Kluyveromyces lactis: one gene and its partners. The protein of the gene in region 1 purifies or fractionates together with the protein of each later gene. This does not show direct contact. Links are inferred from orthologs where the notes say so. Each region holds a gene or a part of one and is shown on either strand. Other genes may lie near its edges. The genes, in order: FUN12, PUF6, NIP1, RPG1 and TIF35.

The links.
Region 2: the proteins of FUN12 (region 1) and PUF6 purify together in Saccharomyces cerevisiae (affinity purification with mass spectrometry; 3 studies listed by BioGRID, with this or other methods). This does not show direct contact. The link is inferred for Kluyveromyces lactis from reciprocal best matches to the Saccharomyces cerevisiae genes FUN12 and PUF6.
Region 3: the proteins of FUN12 (region 1) and NIP1 purify together in Saccharomyces cerevisiae (affinity purification with mass spectrometry; 4 studies listed by BioGRID). This does not show direct contact. The link is inferred for Kluyveromyces lactis from reciprocal best matches to the Saccharomyces cerevisiae genes FUN12 and NIP1.
Region 4: the proteins of FUN12 (region 1) and RPG1 purify together in Saccharomyces cerevisiae (affinity purification with mass spectrometry; 3 studies listed by BioGRID, with this or other methods). This does not show direct contact. The link is inferred for Kluyveromyces lactis from reciprocal best matches to the Saccharomyces cerevisiae genes FUN12 and RPG1.
Region 5: the proteins of FUN12 (region 1) and TIF35 purify together in Saccharomyces cerevisiae (affinity purification with mass spectrometry; 3 studies listed by BioGRID). This does not show direct contact. The link is inferred for Kluyveromyces lactis from reciprocal best matches to the Saccharomyces cerevisiae genes FUN12 and TIF35.

What each region holds. Positions count from the first base shown.
Region 1 is NC_006042.1:2,170,623-2,174,615, reverse strand, and holds the start of FUN12 (translation initiation factor eIF5B), read left to right. Parts: upstream 1-1,187; coding exon 1,188-3,993. Other genes in the region: GTP-binding protein RBG1, read right to left, coding at 1-526. UniProt on the Saccharomyces cerevisiae protein: Plays a role in translation initiation. Translational GTPase that catalyzes the joining of the 40S and 60S subunits to form the 80S initiation complex with the initiator methionine-tRNA in the P-site base paired to the start codon.
Region 2 is NC_006039.1:1,047,759-1,051,613, reverse strand, and holds PUF6 (pumilio-family RNA binding domain-containing protein), read right to left. Parts: upstream 2,502-3,855; coding exon 513-2,501; downstream 1-512. Other genes in the region: CORVET complex subunit VPS3, read right to left, coding at 1-302; myo-inositol transporter ITR1, read right to left, coding at 3,057-3,855. UniProt on the Saccharomyces cerevisiae protein: RNA-binding protein involved in post-transcriptional regulation. Component of the ASH1 mRNP which transports the ASH1 mRNA to the distal tip of the bud, where the ASH1 protein is translated and targeted to the daughter cell nucleus.
Region 3 is NC_006042.1:279,804-283,992, forward strand, and holds NIP1 (translation initiation factor eIF3 core subunit c), read right to left. Parts: upstream 2,812-4,189; coding exon 352-2,811; downstream 1-351. Other genes in the region: BGL2 (glucan 1,3-beta-glucosidase), read right to left, coding at 3,701-4,189. UniProt on the Saccharomyces cerevisiae protein: Component of the eukaryotic translation initiation factor 3 (eIF-3) complex, which is involved in protein synthesis of a specialized repertoire of mRNAs and, together with other initiation factors, stimulates binding of mRNA and methionyl-tRNAi to the 40S ribosome.
Region 4 is NC_006039.1:1,266,388-1,270,516, forward strand, and holds RPG1 (translation initiation factor eIF3 core subunit a), read right to left. Parts: upstream 2,801-4,129; coding exon 23-2,800; downstream 1-22. Other genes in the region: AAA family ATPase SEC18, read right to left, coding at 3,118-4,129.
Region 5 is NC_006038.1:65,483-68,048, reverse strand, and holds TIF35 (translation initiation factor eIF3 core subunit g), read left to right. Parts: upstream 1-1,256; coding exon 1,257-2,066; downstream 2,067-2,566. Other genes in the region: MRPL39 (mitochondrial 54S ribosomal protein bL33m), read right to left, coding at 111-326. UniProt on the Saccharomyces cerevisiae protein: RNA-binding component of the eukaryotic translation initiation factor 3 (eIF-3) complex, which is involved in protein synthesis of a specialized repertoire of mRNAs and, together with other initiation factors, stimulates binding of mRNA and methionyl-tRNAi to the 40S ribosome.

The DNA of each region.
Region 1 (3,993 bases):
GCTTGTTCAAACGGATACCAACACCTTCCAATTCCTTTTCAATGATTTGTTTATGATGCAATGGTTTATTAACGTCCAAAACAATAAATAGTAGATTACAAGTTCTGGCCACAGCGATAACTTGTTTACCACGACCACGGCCATCTTTAGCACCGTCAATGATACCCGGCAAATCCAACATTTGAATCTTAGCACCCTTATATTTGATGACACCTGGAACCGTAACTAAAGTGGTAAACTCGTACTCAGCAGCCTCAGATTCTGTACCAGTCAGCTTAGAAAGTAAAGTACTCTTACCCACTGAGGGGAACCCAACAAATCCGACTGAAGCAACACCGGTCCTGGCCACATCGAAACCAACACCGGCACCACCACCACTACCGCTTGAAGCAGCCTGCAATAACTCTCTTCTAAGTTTCGCTAGCTTAGCTTTCAACTGACCCAAATGAAAAGAAGTGGCCTTATTCTTTTGGGTACGGGCCATCTCATCTTCGATGGCCTTAATCTTCTCTACTGTCGTAGACATCTTTTATTTCAATTCAGATATTGATCAGGAAATTCTTCAAAATAAATCCTTTTTTTATAATTTGATGCCAACCTCAGTGGAATACTGACTGATACCTATCGATTCCAACCGTTTAACTGATTTTGGCCTCTGTAACCAAACTATAATGAAACTCTAATATCATTAATCCTAAGCGATGAGATTGTGAATATCTGTAGAACTTCCTACTGTTGACAAAGATGAAGCTGTCAATTTTTTTCAAGCCGTCCAAGGTGATATTTTATACATCTTCAACGCCGATCGTAAATAGCGATGCTGAATGGCATCGACCGGTCTTCACCCCGAAAATAAGGCTAATGGGACCTTTCTGGCCCCTGAAAGATGAATTTTGGGCGCACCTCACCAAAGACAGGGTAATCTAGTATGTTATTTTTTTCTTTCCATCGAGGTACGTATAATCATGAACTTGAAGTTTTTCATCAGTTTTTTATTTTTTAGTACAGGTTTTTCTCACAACTTAAAACTATTTGAAAGATTGTTTTGCGTAAGATCAATTAAAAGGATTTTACATTATCTCTTTACTTGTTATAACCCTCTTTTACACTTTGTTTGCTGTCTATCATAATAAGATTTCGGAAGAACTGTAAAAGTAGAACCTTTGTATCCGAAAGAGTAGTTCAAGATGGCGAAAAAATCAAAGAAGAATCAACAGAATTACTGGGACGAAGAGTATGAGGAAGATGTTCCTCAAGAATCTTCAGTAGAACCCTCGATAGATGGTTCTGTTGAGCCAAGTGGTGAAACCGAAGTTGCCGATGCATCTGCCATTGAGGAAGATTTTATGTCCACTTTGAAGAAATCTAAGAAGAAGCTGGACAAGAAGGAAGACGAGGATACTAAGAAGCCAGTCTTGAAGTCCAAGAAGGAAAAGGAAAAGGAAAAGAAGGAGAAGGAGAAGGAGAAGAAGAGGGAACAAGCCGCAAAGAAGAAGGCTCAGCAACAAGCGCAGAAGGAAAACAACAAGAAACTTCATGCTGAACAAACTTCTAAACTGAAGGCTGAAAAGGAGGCTGGCAAGTCCACTGAAGGTGCGGCACCAAAGGCTGCACCAAAGAAGAAGGTCCCAGCCGGTCTTGCTGCTTTGAAACGTCAATTGGAGTTACAAAAGCAGCTAGAAGAAGAAGAAAGGTTGGCCAGGGAAGAAGAAGAGAGATTGGAGAAGGAAGAAGAAGAAAAGTTGGCCAAGGCTGAACAAGAAAAGGAAGAAGCTAGAAAGGCTAAGCGTGAGAGAGAACAAGCTAAGCGTGAAAAGTTAAAGGCAGAGGGTAAACTTCTAACTAAGAAACAAAAGGAGGAAAAGAAACTGCTTGAAAACAGACGTGCTGCTCTATTGGCTGCCGGTAACATCAAGGTTGCTGGTCTAGAAAAATCCGGCGATGAGCATCCAAAACCAAAGAAGGTTGTTTACGGTAAAAGAGTCAGAAAGACCAAGGAACAAATCGAGTCCGAAAAGGCAATCGAAGAAGAGAAGAAGAAAGCTACTGAAACTCAAGAAGTCGAAGAAGAAGAGGAAGCGTTGATTGATGACTGGGAGAATTTGGCTCTTGACGATGAACCTGAAGAACAAGAAGGAAAAGAAGAAACAAGTGAAAAAGAGCAATATTCTGGTTCTGAAACTTCTAATGCTACTACTCCAGCTCCGGAATTATCCACTGAAGTTACCAAAAACTATGCTTCTCAACCAATCCCTTCCAAGAGATCTGCAGCAGCAGCAAAGAAAGATCTTCGTTCTCCAATCTGCTGTATCTTGGGTCATGTCGATACTGGTAAAACCAAGTTGTTAGATAAGATTAGACAAACCAACGTTCAAGGCGGTGAAGCTGGTGGTATTACCCAACAAATCGGTGCCACTTATTTCCCAATTGACGCTATTGAACAAAAAACCGCAGTTATGGCTAAGTATGAAGAACAAACCTTCGATGTCCCAGGTTTGTTAGTCATTGATACACCAGGTCACGAATCTTTTACCAACTTGCGTTCCAGAGGTTCCTCTTTGTGTAACATCGCCATCTTAGTTATTGATATCATGCATGGTTTAGAACAACAAACCATTGAATCCATCAGATTATTGAGAGACAGAAAGGCTCCTTTCATCGTTGCCTTGAATAAGATCGATAGATTGTACGACTGGGTAATTACACCAAACAACTCTTTCAGAGACTCCTTTGACAAACAAGAACGAGCAGTTAAGCAAGAGTTCCAAACTAGACTTGACAACATCAAAGTCGCTCTTGCTGAACAAGGTTTGAACTCAGAATTGTATTTCCAAAACAACAACCTAGCCAAATACGTCTCTATTGTTCCAACATCTGCCGTTACAGGTGAAGGTGTTCCTGATTTGTTGTGGTTGCTATTAGAATTGACTCAAAAGAGAATGTCTAAGCAATTGAAATATTTGTCTCACGTTGAAGCTACAATTCTTGAAGTGAAGGTTGTTGAAGGTTTCGGTACCACTATCGATGTTATTCTATCTAATGGTTACTTAAGAGAGGGTGACAGAATCGTTTTATGTGGTATGAACGGTCCGATTGTGACGAATATCAGAGCCTTGTTGACACCTCAACCCTTACGTGAGTTACGTTTGAAGTCTGAATATCAACATCACAAAGAAGTCAAGGCTGCTCTAGGTGTAAAAATTGCTGCAAATGATTTGGAAAAGGCTGTTTCTGGTTCCCGATTATTAGTTGTAGGTCCAGACGATGATGAAGAAGAAATGATGGATGACGTCATGGAAGATTTGACTGGTCTTTTAGACTCTGTGGATACTTCTGGTAGAGGTGTTGTTGTTCAAGCTTCTACATTGGGTTCATTAGAAGCTTTATTAGACTTCTTAAAAGACATGAAAATTCCTGTTATGTCTGTCGGATTAGGTCCTGTTTACAAGCGTGATATAATGAAGGCTTGTACTATGTTAGAAAAAGCTCCTGAATTAGCGGTTATGCTATGCTTTGATGTCAAGGTTGATAAGGAAGCAGAACAATATGCTGCAGAACAACATATCAAAATTTTCAATGCTGATATTATTTACCATTTATTCGATGCCTTCACAGCCTACCAGAAGGAACTACTTGAAAAGCGTCGTGCTGAGTTTATCGGTGACGCTACCTTCCCATGCGTCCTGAACACTCTACAAATCATTAACAAGCGTGGCCCTATGATCATTGGTGTGGATGTCATTGAAGGTTCATTGAAGATCGGTACTCCTATCTGTGCAGTGAAATATGACCCAGCAACAAAGGAGAGAATAACATTGTTGCTTGGTAGAGTCACTTCCTTGGAAATCAATCACCAATCTGTGACTGAAGTCAAGAAGGGTCAAACCAATGCAGGTGTTGCAATGCGTTTAGAAGATCCTTCCGGTCAGCAACCAATCTGGGGTCGTCATGTTGATGAAAAAGATACATTGTATTCTCACATCACTAGAAGGT
Region 2 (3,855 bases), on another chromosome or scaffold:
CTCCCTTCGGACAACACTAAGGCTCTATCAATTTTCGGCAGTAGCGTTATGCCATCAATTCCTGTTGGTCTGTCTTCATTGAAGTTGACTTCCGAGATCAGTGTGAAATTTCCAACATCTAATTCATAATAGTGTAGTAACGCTCCTGAAGTCGAGCCCAGGTAGATGTGCTGACCATAATATTCGATACATGAGTACTCATATTCATGAGGCACATTCTCGATTAATGGTGAAACAGCATATAATCCATCGGTTACTTCAAAGGCAGTTGAAATGGGTTTCTCTTTAGTATCGTCATTCATAAGCCATCAATGCCACTGCTGTAATTAGTGAATTGAGGAATAAATGTTCTTAGCTGTATTATCTCTGGTTCGCAGATGATAGTCTCATTTAAGGAAGTGTGAATCTTAATAGTAGACTAGAACGTCCTTCGTCCACAATGATGAGAAGCTATATCATCTTTAATATACATATTTTAGAGCCAAACTATATAACGACTTGACTATACATACTCAATGCTTCATTAGCTTTAGAAGTAGTTGAGCACCCTTGTTTGAATCGTTCGTCTCTATTTTCTTGATCACTTTTTTCAAATCATGATCGAATTGTTCCCCTTCTTCAGTCCCATGTAAGGCTTCATACAATGCCACAATGGTAAAAGAACTGTTGGGTTTGTTGATCCAATCGAGTAGGTTGCTGGAATCAATGATGTCTTCATAAAATTTTTCAGCAAATGGAATACCAAGTCCCTGAACTTTTTCTAGAGGTTCTAGTTTTCTTGCTTTCACGTTGTATCTACCATTTTGAATGAGAGACTTTAGCAACCTTGCCGAAAATGGTTTGTTAATAGGGTGGTCTTCTTCTGAAATGTCACCTTTGAAATAAATGGCGACGGTGTCCACAAGCTCGGCAAACAACTTTTGATCAGACTCTGAAAGTTGTTCATAGACATCATCGTTAACGAGTAAATCTGCGACAAATTGAGAACCGATGTTTTCATCTAGAATGGTTTTGTAGTGTTCGTTTACGCCAGATAAAATCATTGGTGCGAACCTTTTTAATAATTCAAGTCTTCTTTGGTCAAATGGCTTCTTGGAAGTAGTTTCCGACATCTTAATGTATCTTTGTAGTTCATTCTTCATATTTGGACCGAAGTATTTACCATCTAATCCTAAAAGTAGGAATAAGAGCGGCCTCCTACCAAATTTATCAACAATCAATTCTGGAAGATGTTCCTTAATTGGTGGGGAAAATGCCTTGGAGACGAGAACAGTATCATCGACTGTCATTAATAAAGTTATGAAAACAACGGCACCGTGTTCATTTTGAATTAACTTGATTGCATGTTCTTTCAAGGTCTTTATCAACCCCTTTCTTTCTTTGGCATTTGCTTTAGCGATTAAAGTAGATGCAACTTCTGCACCTTCTGGGGTATGCACTAATTCCGCAAAGTTCTCTTCTAAAAGTTCGATGAACTCAGATGTTTCTTTATCGTTGGCGATTTTGACGTATTCCCTCATTGCTGCGTGTAAAATCTGGAAACCTGCCGAACCTTTTTCAACAGAAGCAGTGATGGTACCAATCAAGTTTCTAGCGATAATATTTCTCTTTTCTACGCTGGAAGCACAAACTTCTTCGAGCGTAAGTTCCTTATGAGATTCTCTGAATACGGCGTATTCTGAACCCCAAAATTCTCTGATCATTTGATTTCTTTGTTCTTGAGAGGCATAAAGAACAAACAAATCTTCGACCACATAGGCACCTTCACGGTGTCTCATTAGTTTTCTCAAATTACCATGTAGTTGATCGATTATGATTTGTCTAGATTTTCGGGAACCATAATGTAACAATTTAACCAACAAATATTTACCATATGATGATGTGGCCAAAACATAAATTTTATCTTTCAATGCCAACGTGATCTGTTCTCTGCGCTCTTTGGAAGAATATTTGACTAATGTCTGGACAATTCTGGATGCATCATGCTTCAATACTAAATCTTCAATACAATCATTCGAGAGTTCCCAGATCTCATTACATAGCTTTTCACGGACAGGCTTTGGAATTGGAGGGTTCTTGACACGTAATCTTTCCCATAAAGACTTGATCTGCTGGACTGTTTCACCAGATTTACGCTGAAGTTTTCTCTCCTTTAATGTTTTTCTTTGTTCGGCATGCTGGCTGACACCATTACTTTCTTTTTTGTCTGCATCATTTCCGGTTCCAGCATCTTCTTCATCTTCAGCATCTTCTTGATCCTCATCAGATTCATCCAGTTGATCAGATTCGTTGTCTAGCTCGTCTGAATCTGAATTTGAGCTAGCATCATCTAATTCATCATCTAGCTCATCTTCTGAAGATAAACCGTGGAGGACATCATCAGAATCTTCATCGCCAGAATCAACACTAATGTTTTTAGCTCTTTTTACAATTTTACCAGAATCCTTCGACTCCTTAGATTCCAATTGACGCTTGTTCAACTTTTTCGACGTGGCTGCCATATCTGTAGTGCTGTATTGTCCTACGAGAGAGAATAAGAATGTATATGTTGTTATTTAATGCTACCCATAGTGCAGTTACTACTGTATAAGCTCATCTCATCTCATCGCTTCTTTTTCAAGTTCAGAAAATTTTCATAATATGCTAAAAAGAAAGAACTCAAATAAACATTCGCCAGAATCTCTCTTTTTTTGATGGGGGGAATATACAGTTGGTACAGGATTTGGCTGATTAAACCGAATATGGCAGTTTATTACATGCTTCAAAGATTTAGCTCTATTTCTCGAAAGCTCTCTCTTCCGAGTTAGTTAATTATGAAATGAGTAAATGTCACCCTTTCAAACTAACGAGATTTTTATTGTAAATCACAAACAAGTTGAGTTTTACACATGACAATGATAATATTACAGTAGTAATTGTGGACAACTTTAGCAGCTATAGTTGTTAATTCTAAAAGATTTTATGGTTATCTATATACTCAACTTCATATGAAGTTCATTGAAAAACCAAGACAGTAGCTTCGGGTATGAGAATAAGAGGGAATGACTGCATTTACATTAACTTTCAAGTAGTTCATCGGAGGGTTTATCCTTTTGATAAGCTTCCATGTCCTTTTCTCTAAATCTCCTTTGCATTTCGCTATTTTGTTGCTTTCTCTTCTTGGCTAGTTGTTTGGAAGCTTTGATGTTGAATCCATCACTTAAAATAGTTTGTACTTCCTCCAATTCTAGACCAGATAGTTCTGGATAACAGAGATAACAGAAGACGGTAGATACTGCAGCTAGTGCAGCAAATAATGAAAATGTACCAGTCGGTGTTATGTTTTGTAACATTGTTAGGAAGGTAGATGCAATAATTAGGGAACCAGCCCAGTTAGTAGCTGTACAATAAGAAGTACCTACACCTCTAACGGATGTTGCAAATAATTCAGATTGCTGCCATGGTACAGTACCGATACCTAGAGCATAGAATGCTGCATATACCATGATGAATACGATAACGACTATACCCCAAGAACTGAATCCACCATTGGAAACTTCCGATTCACCAGCGCCAGTGAATTTTATATCTAGGAAATGGAAGGCGATAGCACACATAACCAAGGAAACCATCATACCAGGCAAGCCAATCAAAAGGATTGCTCTACGACCGACCTTATCAATCGCAAAGAAAGCGACTAAAGTGAATACGAAGTTAGTACCGGCAACGATGATAGACACTGCAGTAGAATTTTCGAAACCAACAGTTTGAAAAATAGTACCAGAGAAATACATTAAAGAATTCCAACCACAGAATTGTTGAATACCTTGTAAAGCACAACCGATCACCAATGCCCTGAAATTGCATGGGACAGTA
Region 3 (4,189 bases), about 1.9 Mb from region 1:
ATTTGTCCATAAATGTGTATCATATACATATATATATAGAATGAACCAGCGCATAAACTGTATTGTTACGAGTCAATGTTCGAGATGTTATATGTCTCCAAAATTCAATTAATTGATTTCAAAAACTACGTAATTGCCTACAGTGAGAACTATGTTATATATTATCGATAATGTACAAATACTAGTATTTATTGCAAATGCTAAAACAAAGGTTCTTTGCCAACGACTCTGTCTATTAATATGCGCACGGTAAGTGAACAAAAGAAGGAAGAGCAAATTTTGTTATGTGTATGGAAGGTGAGTGCTACAATTAGAAACTGACCTTATCTGCTGAACGAAGAATGAAAATGTTTACTGGCGTAAACGTTCAGAGTGGTACTTGGTTTCTTTAACTAACTTGATGGCAACTTCTTCTAACTTTGTGATTTCTTCGCCTCTTTCGAAGATAATGTATTCGTTATTTTCATCCAATTTGGCTTTAACTTCGTAATCATTGATGATGTTTTGTGCTACAGCCAAAACCTTTTCGATATCAAGATCAAACAATTTCGATAATTTAGAAATGGATATTTTAGAGTAGAATCTCTTGTAAGTGAAAATGTAAGTTTTCAAAGTTTCAATTTGAACCTTTTCACTTAGTTGGTTGATGATATCATCAGATTTACTCAACAAAGACCACACAGAAATTTTCCTCAAATATTCGATCGATTGTAAGTAATCACCCTTTTGCATTGACTTTGCAGCATAAAGAATGTGATCTCTTAGAGTTTCTGGAGGACCATGGAAAATAGCTTTCTCTGAACTCTCTAGAATACGGCGGATAGATTTTTGGAAAACTGGGATTCTCTTGACCTTAATACCGCTGTAATAAGCTGCCATGTGAGGCACATCAAGTAATAAAGAACATGTCATGTAGACGGTGTCAATTAGATCCAAGTTGATGTGTTGATGGAAAGGAAGACATAATTGTTCAACAGGGGCACCCTGCACGACATTGCTGTTCGCATTAGCTCTTTGTAAACTTTGTTGACCCAAAATTTCTCTTAGATGTGGATTAATACAAAGACCGTTCAAAACTTGGTGACATTCATTTATTAAACCAGCCTTAAATGCAGCCAAACCAAGTTGAATAACACATCTATTGTACAAAATTTGTAATGCTGCATCAGAGCCTGAAATGAATTTAGCAATATCGGAAGAAAGCATTATTTTCTTTGCTGGAGCGTATTCTTGGTTCAATGCAATATAATATGTTTTGTACAAGGTACCTTTTCTGTAGTTGAACACGTTGTTACTCTTTTGTTTAATTAAGAAATCGGACAATTCAGAGATGACCTTGAAGTTGTAATCGGCATCTGCGGAATCTGATTCATTCAAACGAACGAAAGAGGATTCAAGGGACGCAGTTCCTTCACGAATTTGTTTCCATGCAACGGTTTCCATAATAGAGATGAGCTTGTCGGACTTGTAGTAGATATGTTCAAGTCTTCTGTTGAAGACACGGGCCAAAAGTCTATCGCGGTGTTCTTCTGCAGTTACACGTTCAAAGTACAATTGGGATCTGATAATCAAATTGTAAATAGATTGTTCATCTCTCAAACGTTCCATGTATTCACTGGAACGAGTGTCAATGTTCAAAAGGGATTTGCTAAATTCATCGTCCAATCTTTCAACCATAGAGAAGATAGAACCCAAAATTTCCTTGACACCATGCTCATTAGCTTCTGGTTCATCTTCAATGAAATCATTTCTTGGGGCAAATTCAGTAACTTGATAGTGGTCGATCTCTTGTTCCAGCACTTCCAATAAACCATCCAAGTTATCCTTTGATGCTTTCCATTGTTCTAGTGGTTGGTATGATAAGGATACAGATGCATCGAATCTGATTGGAATCAAGTTCAAGTATGTACAGATCTTTTCATATGGAGTCTTGGCAATCTTCAATAGTTCTTCGGTGGTTTTAATTTGTTCTGTGTGGTCAGTGTTTTTCTTACCTCTAGAATCGATGATAATATTCAACGTCTTGAAAAAGTCTAGCTCAGAAATGTTATTTGCCACGGATGCCAAGTCTAAATTCTTCTTACCACTCAAGGAGAATGGAGTAGCAGAGACATCTCTTGAGTCTATATCAGCATCTAAGACAGGTTCCTTGTCAAAGTCCTCTGGGTTTTCTCTGTAAGCCTTAACGGAGGTTTCGTTTTCTCTGATTAACTTCTTAACTCTTTGCTTGGTGGTGTTATAAGCTCTTGCAACTGCCTTATTCTTAATTTCATCCTGAGAAGTAGCAGATACCGCATCTTCAAATCTAGCCAATGACTTCACAAAGATATTAGGTGTACCGTAGTTTTGTTGTTGGGCTTTTGTGTATAATTTCAAAATGGTTTCCAAATGGTTTAATAATGATTCCCAATCTTGTTGGGCTTCTGCGGAATCAATTTTTTGGTAAATAGATTTCATTTCATCCAACAACTTCTCTTTTGCTGACTTCACAACCTTCTTACCATCTTCTTCGTCGGATGAGTCTTCATCAGATGAATAGTTGGTAGATTTCAAGAACTTGTTAGCACCTGAACCACCACCTTTTCTGAATTCTGGCTTCTTGAACCAGTCAGGGCCGTAGGGTTTGCTATCAGAATCATTGTCTTCATCATTATCGGAACTCTCATCAGAGTCGTTGAAGAAAGAGTCATCAGATAATTCTTCCTCACTGGAGGATGAAACTAAATCCTCTTCACTTTGAGATAACAAGTCTTCTTCTTCACCAGAAGACGTTGAATCGTACTCATATGTCTTCAAAAAAAAACGGGACATGATGAATGGACTATCGCTTAACGTTGTTCTATTTCCTTAATACCACGTACTAATCTCAACCTAGTCTCCCTGTTACGACCTGGTGATTCCAACCTACAATTGAAAAGTATTGCTTATTACACGTCTCAACTGAATTTCATCTATTAATTCGATTTCAAACCTTTCAGATTTTCTTTTGAGATGAGCTTTCACTGAGTGAAAATTTGTGAAAATTTTCAAATAATCATGGAACACGATTGGTAGCCGGGTAATGATAAATGAATGTACCATTGCAAAGAACAAAGTGAAGTGGGAGTCTGTCGCCGGTTGATGTTAGGCCAAAATGGACGTCTAACTTTGTGTGATTGCGTATAATCATCGATGATAAATAGGGTATAAAATAATATCGATTTAATTTAGTTATATGAAAAGTGAAATATAGATGTTGCTAAGAAATAAAATAATTTTGAAGCTTTCATACCATATACGATGCCTTCTTGATCGATGTTTTGTGGGCATACTTCGACAACGGGATAGATACATTTATGGTTCATGAAAATGTTCTGCTGTTGTGATATATAAAGTACTCTTTTAATGTTCTTTTTTTTTTTTAGTCCAGGAATTAAAATGGATAGTATCGCAATTTGAAGAATTCAAGTAGGTAATAAGTTAATATCACCTTTAGATAACAGCCGTAGTAACAAGTATGAATGGATCAATTTGCTGAAGGAATGTGTGACCTAAATGTGACATGAAAGCTTCATTTGTATAATTTTGAGTTGTTAATAGGAGACGAAAGGAAACAACAAGTCAACAATTATAACCGGTATCAAATGAGAAAGTGGAAGGGTAAAAAAAATACACACAATCTGTATTGTATGTTAAAGAGAAGAGAAGCTCAACTCAAAAATTAAGAGCTGAAATCACAATCCAACTTGAACTTCAAGTTTCTGTTGGCATCCCAAACACCCCAGTACTTTTCAACATCGGAAATACCAGAAGTATCTGGTTTCCAGTCCTCATCGAAAGCTTCGAAAACGATAACGTTGACACCCCAGCCTCTCATAGCACAAATACCATCAGCCCAAAATTGCTTAGCGTTATCTAGACCTGGGTAAGCACTTTCAAAGTTGGTACCATCGGTTGGCCAGCCAGTTTCACCAACCCAGAATTGAATGTCAGTAGAACCCTTGGTAGTTTGGATAGTTTGTAGAGCTTGCATGATATCGTCGAAGAACGAGTAAGAAGCATTATCCATAGTTTGACCTTGCCAGTAAGAGAAGGCGTTCGCCATGACAAAGTCAGCAGCTTGAATGGCGGTAGCAGATCCACCATCGACCAAAACGTTCCATGAGTCAACAGTACCGACTTGCTTGCCACTGTAAGAGTTACCATCGGA
Region 4 (4,129 bases), on another chromosome or scaffold:
TCTGAATGAGATATGCAAGATATTAACCTCTTCCAGCATTCATTCTCTTCAGTCTCAACTTTTCAGCCATAGACATTGGTTTATTGGATACCGGAGCAGTTTGTGCTGGTGCTGGTGCTGGGGTTGGAGTAGAAGGAACAGGGCTAGATCTAGAGCTACCGTTCTTCTTTTCAAGAAGTTCTTCGATTTCTCTTTGCTTTCTAGCAATTTCGTCTCTTTCCTTGTTGATTCTTTCACGTTCGGCACGTCTCTTGGCAAGTTCTTCCTCCTTAGCCAAAGCCTCCTTTTCAGCAGCTTCAGCTTCAATTGCAGCTTGTATTTCAGCAACTTTAGCTTCATAACGTTCCTTACGGACTTGTTCAATTCTTTGCTTCTTAGCTTCTTCTAATTGAGCTTCCTTCAAGGCGCGTTGTTTTTCTAACTCTTCCTTCTTTTCAGCGATAACAGATGACTTGTATTGGTTGAAAGTACTGTAGATTTTGTTCAAACGTTGATGTAGAGCCAATTTCTTTTCATAGTCGGCCTTGGAAGTCTCAATTAACTTCTTCTTGAAATTGTCGTAATTCTCTCTATCCCTCTTTTTTTGCTCTTCAGCGTCCTTTTCTAACAATGGCAATTCCATTTGTCTATAGGCTCTTTCCAGGTGATCTAACTTCTTGAAGGCATAGGTCATACGTTCAGTCAAATCCTTCTTGTTCTTGGCTACTTGTTCAATGACCATTTGGTTGATCTTATCACTTGTTAGGTTCTTGGCTTCCTTTGGATCAATATGAATGACACCATTGGCATTAGTTTCAGCAATCAACTTCTTCATTTCTTGTTCATGGATCGCTTCTCTCTCACGTTCCATCATTTCTTCAGCACGACGTTCCGCTTCTTTCTCCATAGAAGATTCAACAGCAGCCTTTTCCTCAGCCATACGTCTTTGCCTTTCTTCTAGAGCCTTCTTGGCAAGAATCTTGTTTTCTTCTTCGCTTCTCTTCTTGCGTTCAGCGTTACTCTTAGCTCTAATTTCAGCAGCTTCCTTTTCTAACTTGATAACTTCTTCCTTTCTTCTGATCAATTCTTCACGCACAAGTTTGACTCTGTAATAGTAAGAACCATTTTCGTATTCTTCGTTGGCCTTTAAGATCTTGGATAGATCAGTCAACTTAGAACGGACTTCTGAGTTACGAGTGAAGACTTGTTCATTCTGTTCCTCATCAGCATGCGTTTCTTGGGAGGTTTCCTCTTCGGATTCAGAGTTCTTTGCTTCATCAGAAGTGCTAGATTCGGGAACTTCAACAAGAGATGCTTGCCAAGCGTCAAATGGATCTTGGGCAAATGAAACGGTATCAGTTTCATGGTCAATGGAAATACTAACATAATCATCCATAGCAGCTTGGATTAAGTATTTTTCTAGTTCAAAAACAGATAATTCGAAAGGAGCTGGCAGTGACAACATTTCATGCAATTCAACTAAGTGAATAGATGTTTGAGCCTTTGAGACTTCAATGATGGATCTTCTGATGAATAGGTTTCTCAATGGAGCCACGTATTGGGCGAAATATGGCTTTTCAACCAAGTTTGGCAAAAGTGCAGACAATTGAGACTTAGCAGACTTCACATCGAAATTAGTTTCCAATATATTGAAGAATTTCAAAATATCAGCGTCAGCTTTCTCTACGACTTGTTGTTCACCAGCAGCAGTAATCAAATCCTTTCTCTTTGGTTTACTTTCAAGGTCTAGTAAGTCACATAGACGAATTTGAGGATCGAAACCAGCAATTGGTAAGTCATCCAATTGAATTGCCAAAGCGGACAAGACAAATTGAGATGAATAGAACTTAAAGTCTTCTTCGGAAGCATTTGGATTCTTCAAGTACAAATTGTAGAATTTTTCCCATGCAGCAGCGTGCAATAAATAGTTACCAGAGACAAAGAAGATCTTGGCCAAATTTTCGTAGTAGTTGGCCAACACAGAGGGCTTTGGAGCACGCTTCGAGAGACGCATCAAATGATGAACATCTTCAATGGATCTGAAAGCTTCATGCCATAATTCCAATTTAACAGAAACGTTAACTTGTTGGAAACGTTGGTCAGAATAACGTTGCAAAGTGTCAGGATCTGATAAATCGACAGTGTGGTGACCATATCTCTGTTGTTGGTAGTTTGCGGCATCCAAATGTTGACGTAACATTTCAGCTAAACGCTTGAATTCATTCTTACGGTTATATTTGTAACAGAATTGCATGGTTCTGTTAACAACACCCGCATACGTGATTTCCAATTGAGAATTATTTCTCAAGAAATCTAGAGTGGTACGGTAAGATTCCCAGGTAAATCTCAACCAAGCTGAAACATCATCATTGTTGAATCCACCAACAGTTTGTTCTTGTTCGTAAACAGAAACCAACAAATTTTCTGGGGTGACACCACCCTCTAGATCCTCTTCGGCTTGGTCCTTGTTGGATTCTTCTTTGGCATCAGTTTGCGCTTGGATGTTGGTCATCTTAGTTTCGATCAAATCGATGAATTTACGAGCAACAGCACCTACAGAAATCAAACCTTCGGGAGTGTGTTGCATATGCTTCTTGTATTGGTATAAACCTTCCTTGATCATTTTACCCTTCCTCAATTCAACACCAAGTTCCAAGAACTTGAAGATTATAGGTTCCAAAGTGGCAGCATCAGCAAAACGAGACCTTCTTGAAGATAATAAATCAAATAGAGATTGCAACGCAGCCATTGGCTCGCCAACAGAGACTAATTCGTCAGCTCTTCTAATGGCATTCTCAGGACGTAAAGCCGGTGGAGCCATGATGAAATGCTAGTATAATCGATGGGTCGAGAACGGTTGTTATCTACCCTTTCTAAATCAGAGACTAGATCCAAGTATATATCTTTATTTTGCAAGGTGCAATAGGAAGAAGTTTCACATAAATAGACTGAAAAGTTTTTTTTCACTTATTCTCTTTGATCTTCAACGGAAGCATGCTGAAAAATTTCAACCTTCATCAAAAGTTGATATCATTGAGAACGAAGTTGAAGTTTATGTGCTATGTCGCGAGTACATATCACATATGTATAATATATATATATATATAAATGTATCATATTAGAAATGAATAGTATAATTCAAGATGATTGCACCATTAGATCAACAAGTTCATTGACGGGATCCTCATCGTGTCTTGCTGTTTCAATGTTTGTGAGTACTTTTTTCACGCCGACGTTGAGAGTAGATGTAACTTGGGATAATTTGCGGATAACTTCGACTCTACCAGCATCGTCAAGAAATCCGGAATCTGTCATAATGTTATTCAGTTCATCTAGGTTTGATACGTTTGGGACAGCAATTTCGTTGTCGAAACAACTTAGTATATCCATTTGCTTAAGCACCGTGTAAGCGGACGTAGTAGAGATGATAAGCAAACGACGATTATTTGGAGGTTTTCTTTTCAAATAGACCTTGAGTACTTGTAGGATATTATTAGAGAACCTTGGACCAATTGGAACCCAGTCAACTAGAGTCTCTATCGAATCGATAACTAGAATGTTAAGTGGCGATTTGTAAGCATCTCTGAAGGTATTGTCGATGTATGCGATCTTGGCCGTTTCCGACATACCTGCTATTTCTTCAGGGGAAATTAATCTAACAAATGGGAACTCAGACTTCAATGCAATGGCGGCAGCTAAGGCAGTTTTTCCTGAACCTGGAGGACCATGCACTAGTAAGGATACTAGTCTTGATTTGTCTGACTCTCTCACTTGACGGACGTATCTAGCACCGTTTTTCAAAATGTCGTCTACGGAGTTGGAGAACCTAAAGACTCCACCTTCTACGCAAGTCTTCAAATCTTCTTCACTAACACCAAACGCAGGAGTCACTTCATCTAACGCATTCAAGAAATCTTGTCTAGTCACCTTCATGTTTGCAATGTCTTTGGTTTTTAGTTTGGTTGCCCCTTTTCCGATATTTACAGTCTTGTTGATTGCAAAAGAACTAGCACTCTTCACCAAACCCTCAATTTCAGCACCGGAGAAATTCTTCGTGAGTGATGCAAGTTCTTTCAAGCTAACATCATGTGCGAGCATGTTGTTTTCTCTCATTTTCTTGGTTTGGATTTCGAAGATTTGTTCTCTACCT
Region 5 (2,566 bases), on another chromosome or scaffold:
GATACTACTATAGAACTCTTAAATCACGTCTATTTCAACGGTAGTTATTGCAGTGTGAGTGTTTTCTATATACATGCAAATGGTGTGGTTAAATTGTTAAATACAATTCATTAACGTCTTGCGGTACGTAAGAAGTCCAATGGTTTCCTCTCTGCAACCTTTCTTTTCTTGGCCTCTTTGAACAAAACATGACGTTTAGCTACAGGGTCGTACCTCACCTGCGTCACTAATGGTGCAGCTCTATTTATCGTGACATGACGGCTCACACCTGTCATAGCAGTTGATATCAGTTTGATAACTGTAGTCTTTGTCTTAGCCTTGGCCATCGTTTTCCTGTTCGTTTGCAGTTTATATATGATATCCTTAGCTCTGTGAAATTCCTTGAATTTGAATTTGAGACAGAGAAGTACGCAGGATAATATTACTTTCTGCCCTTAATACTTTCCGATGATACACCGTCCTATGCAGAAATTGATGAACTCCCACTACTTTCAGTATTGATTGGGTCGGATACATTGCTAAAGAAGAAGTAATGGATAATCAAAATTTTGTCAAATCACTACATACGTTTTGATGAATATGCAATATACATAAAAATGATCCGTACTTCATATCACGTGAAACAGATACATATTCACAAGTCAAGTTAAGTATTCGCATATAGTTACTCTACGCTTTTATCAACAAGAAGGTATTAACTGAATTGATTGGTGTACACAGTACGGTATAATTAAGGTAACTAATTAGTGCTGGAGCTTACGGATCTCTGTTACACCCGTGCAACACGATATACATTACTGATGAAAATTTTGAAAATTTTCCAAAGCTCATCGCATAGAGACAGAGGCAAAATCAGCGAAAGAGAAGAGAAAAAAATGGAAATTCAAATGAGTTCTAAGTTACCTGCTAAAATAAACGTAATGGTAAGGTGACCCTAGAAGGTGCATAGGGTTTCATCCAGCTGTTTGATAGAAGAAAGGAGTATACTGCGCCAAGTGTATCCGATTTACGTGTTTCAATAAAGAACTGAAACAAAAATTTGAGACTATCATCTGTGCGAAGTTTTTTTCTTCAAAGAGAATTAATTGATATCGATCAGATTATCTACAGACCCATAACTTGAAAGGAGGATATTTGACATACCTCAAATCAGAATTGGGCTTCTTAATTGTTGATAGTATAACACGCGTCTAGAAATTAAAGGAATTTTTTCTACAATCCTATTTTTTTAAGGAGATAATACAAAGATTCACAACATGTCAGCTATTCCTGAACCAAGAATCATCGAGAATGACGATGGTTCCAAAACCGTCATCAGTTTCAAAATCCAAGATGGTAAGAAGTACAAGGTTACGCAGAAGGTTAAGGAAATTACTGTCACCGAGAAAGTTAACAAGAACATCGCCTTGAGAAGAAATTGGAAGAAATATGGTGCTGATAAGGGAGCTGCCCCAGGACCAGATATTTCAACCACTCAATTAGGTGAAGAATTAGAGTTAGACTTGTCTCCTAACTGGAAGGAAATGGAAGAAGAAAAGGCAAAGGAGAAGGCTGCTAACTCGACTCAAAAGGTAATTACTTGTAGAATTTGTGGTGGTGCGCATTTCACCATGCATTGTCCGTACAAAGACACTTTGGGAAAGAAACCTACTACATCTGCTGGTTTAGACCCGGCTATCGGTGGTGGAGATATGAGCGCTCAAGGAGGCTCTGGCTCTGGCAGATACGTGCCACCATCCCTACGTGCTGGTGCTCGTGATCCATCTTCTAATGCTTACCAAGACCAAAGAGAACGTGATGATGCAAAGACTATTAGATTGACCCAGGTTAACGAACTTGCAGATGAAGAAGTGCTTAAAAGAGAATTACTCTTCCCATTCGGTGAGATTCCTAGAGTATTCGTCGTCAAGAACCCAGAAACTGGTAGATCCCGTGGTGTTGCTTACGTTACTTTCCAAACTGAAGAAATTGCTGCTCAAGCTTTGAAATTATTGGAAGGCAGAGGTTTCATGAATTTCATGTTACACGCAGAATGGTCTAAGCCAAAACCAAAGAAAGAAGAATGATAAACTGTAAGAACTCGCTGATCAAACTGATATAGTATTTTTTGAAGAGAAAAACTACTTCAAAACTAAGTTCTAAACCCATTATTTCAATACCAAGGTCTCTTTACTTCTACCTTCAAAGTTGTTGCATCTTATCTTACAGCTTATTTGTTCCCTACAATTTATCCCATTCCTTTCATAACATGGGATATCTCTGCGTAGCGTGACGTATGTGTATCCTAATAATCTTACTTCCTGGTTGAACAAATGAGCATATCACTCAGCATCATACGGTTATATTATATGACATTCTTTGACCCATTTTGCTCTCGAACGATACAATAGCATATGTGTATAATTACTACATTCGAGTACTATGTGTGTTACGTATCTACCTGTATATTACAAACTCCAAGATATATCGTCTAACTCTTTCAGAAATTCAAACCGATCAATGAAACATGTTGGTGGATTTCGTTTTTCATAGATATTAAGCGGATGTACGTAGTATATAATATGTG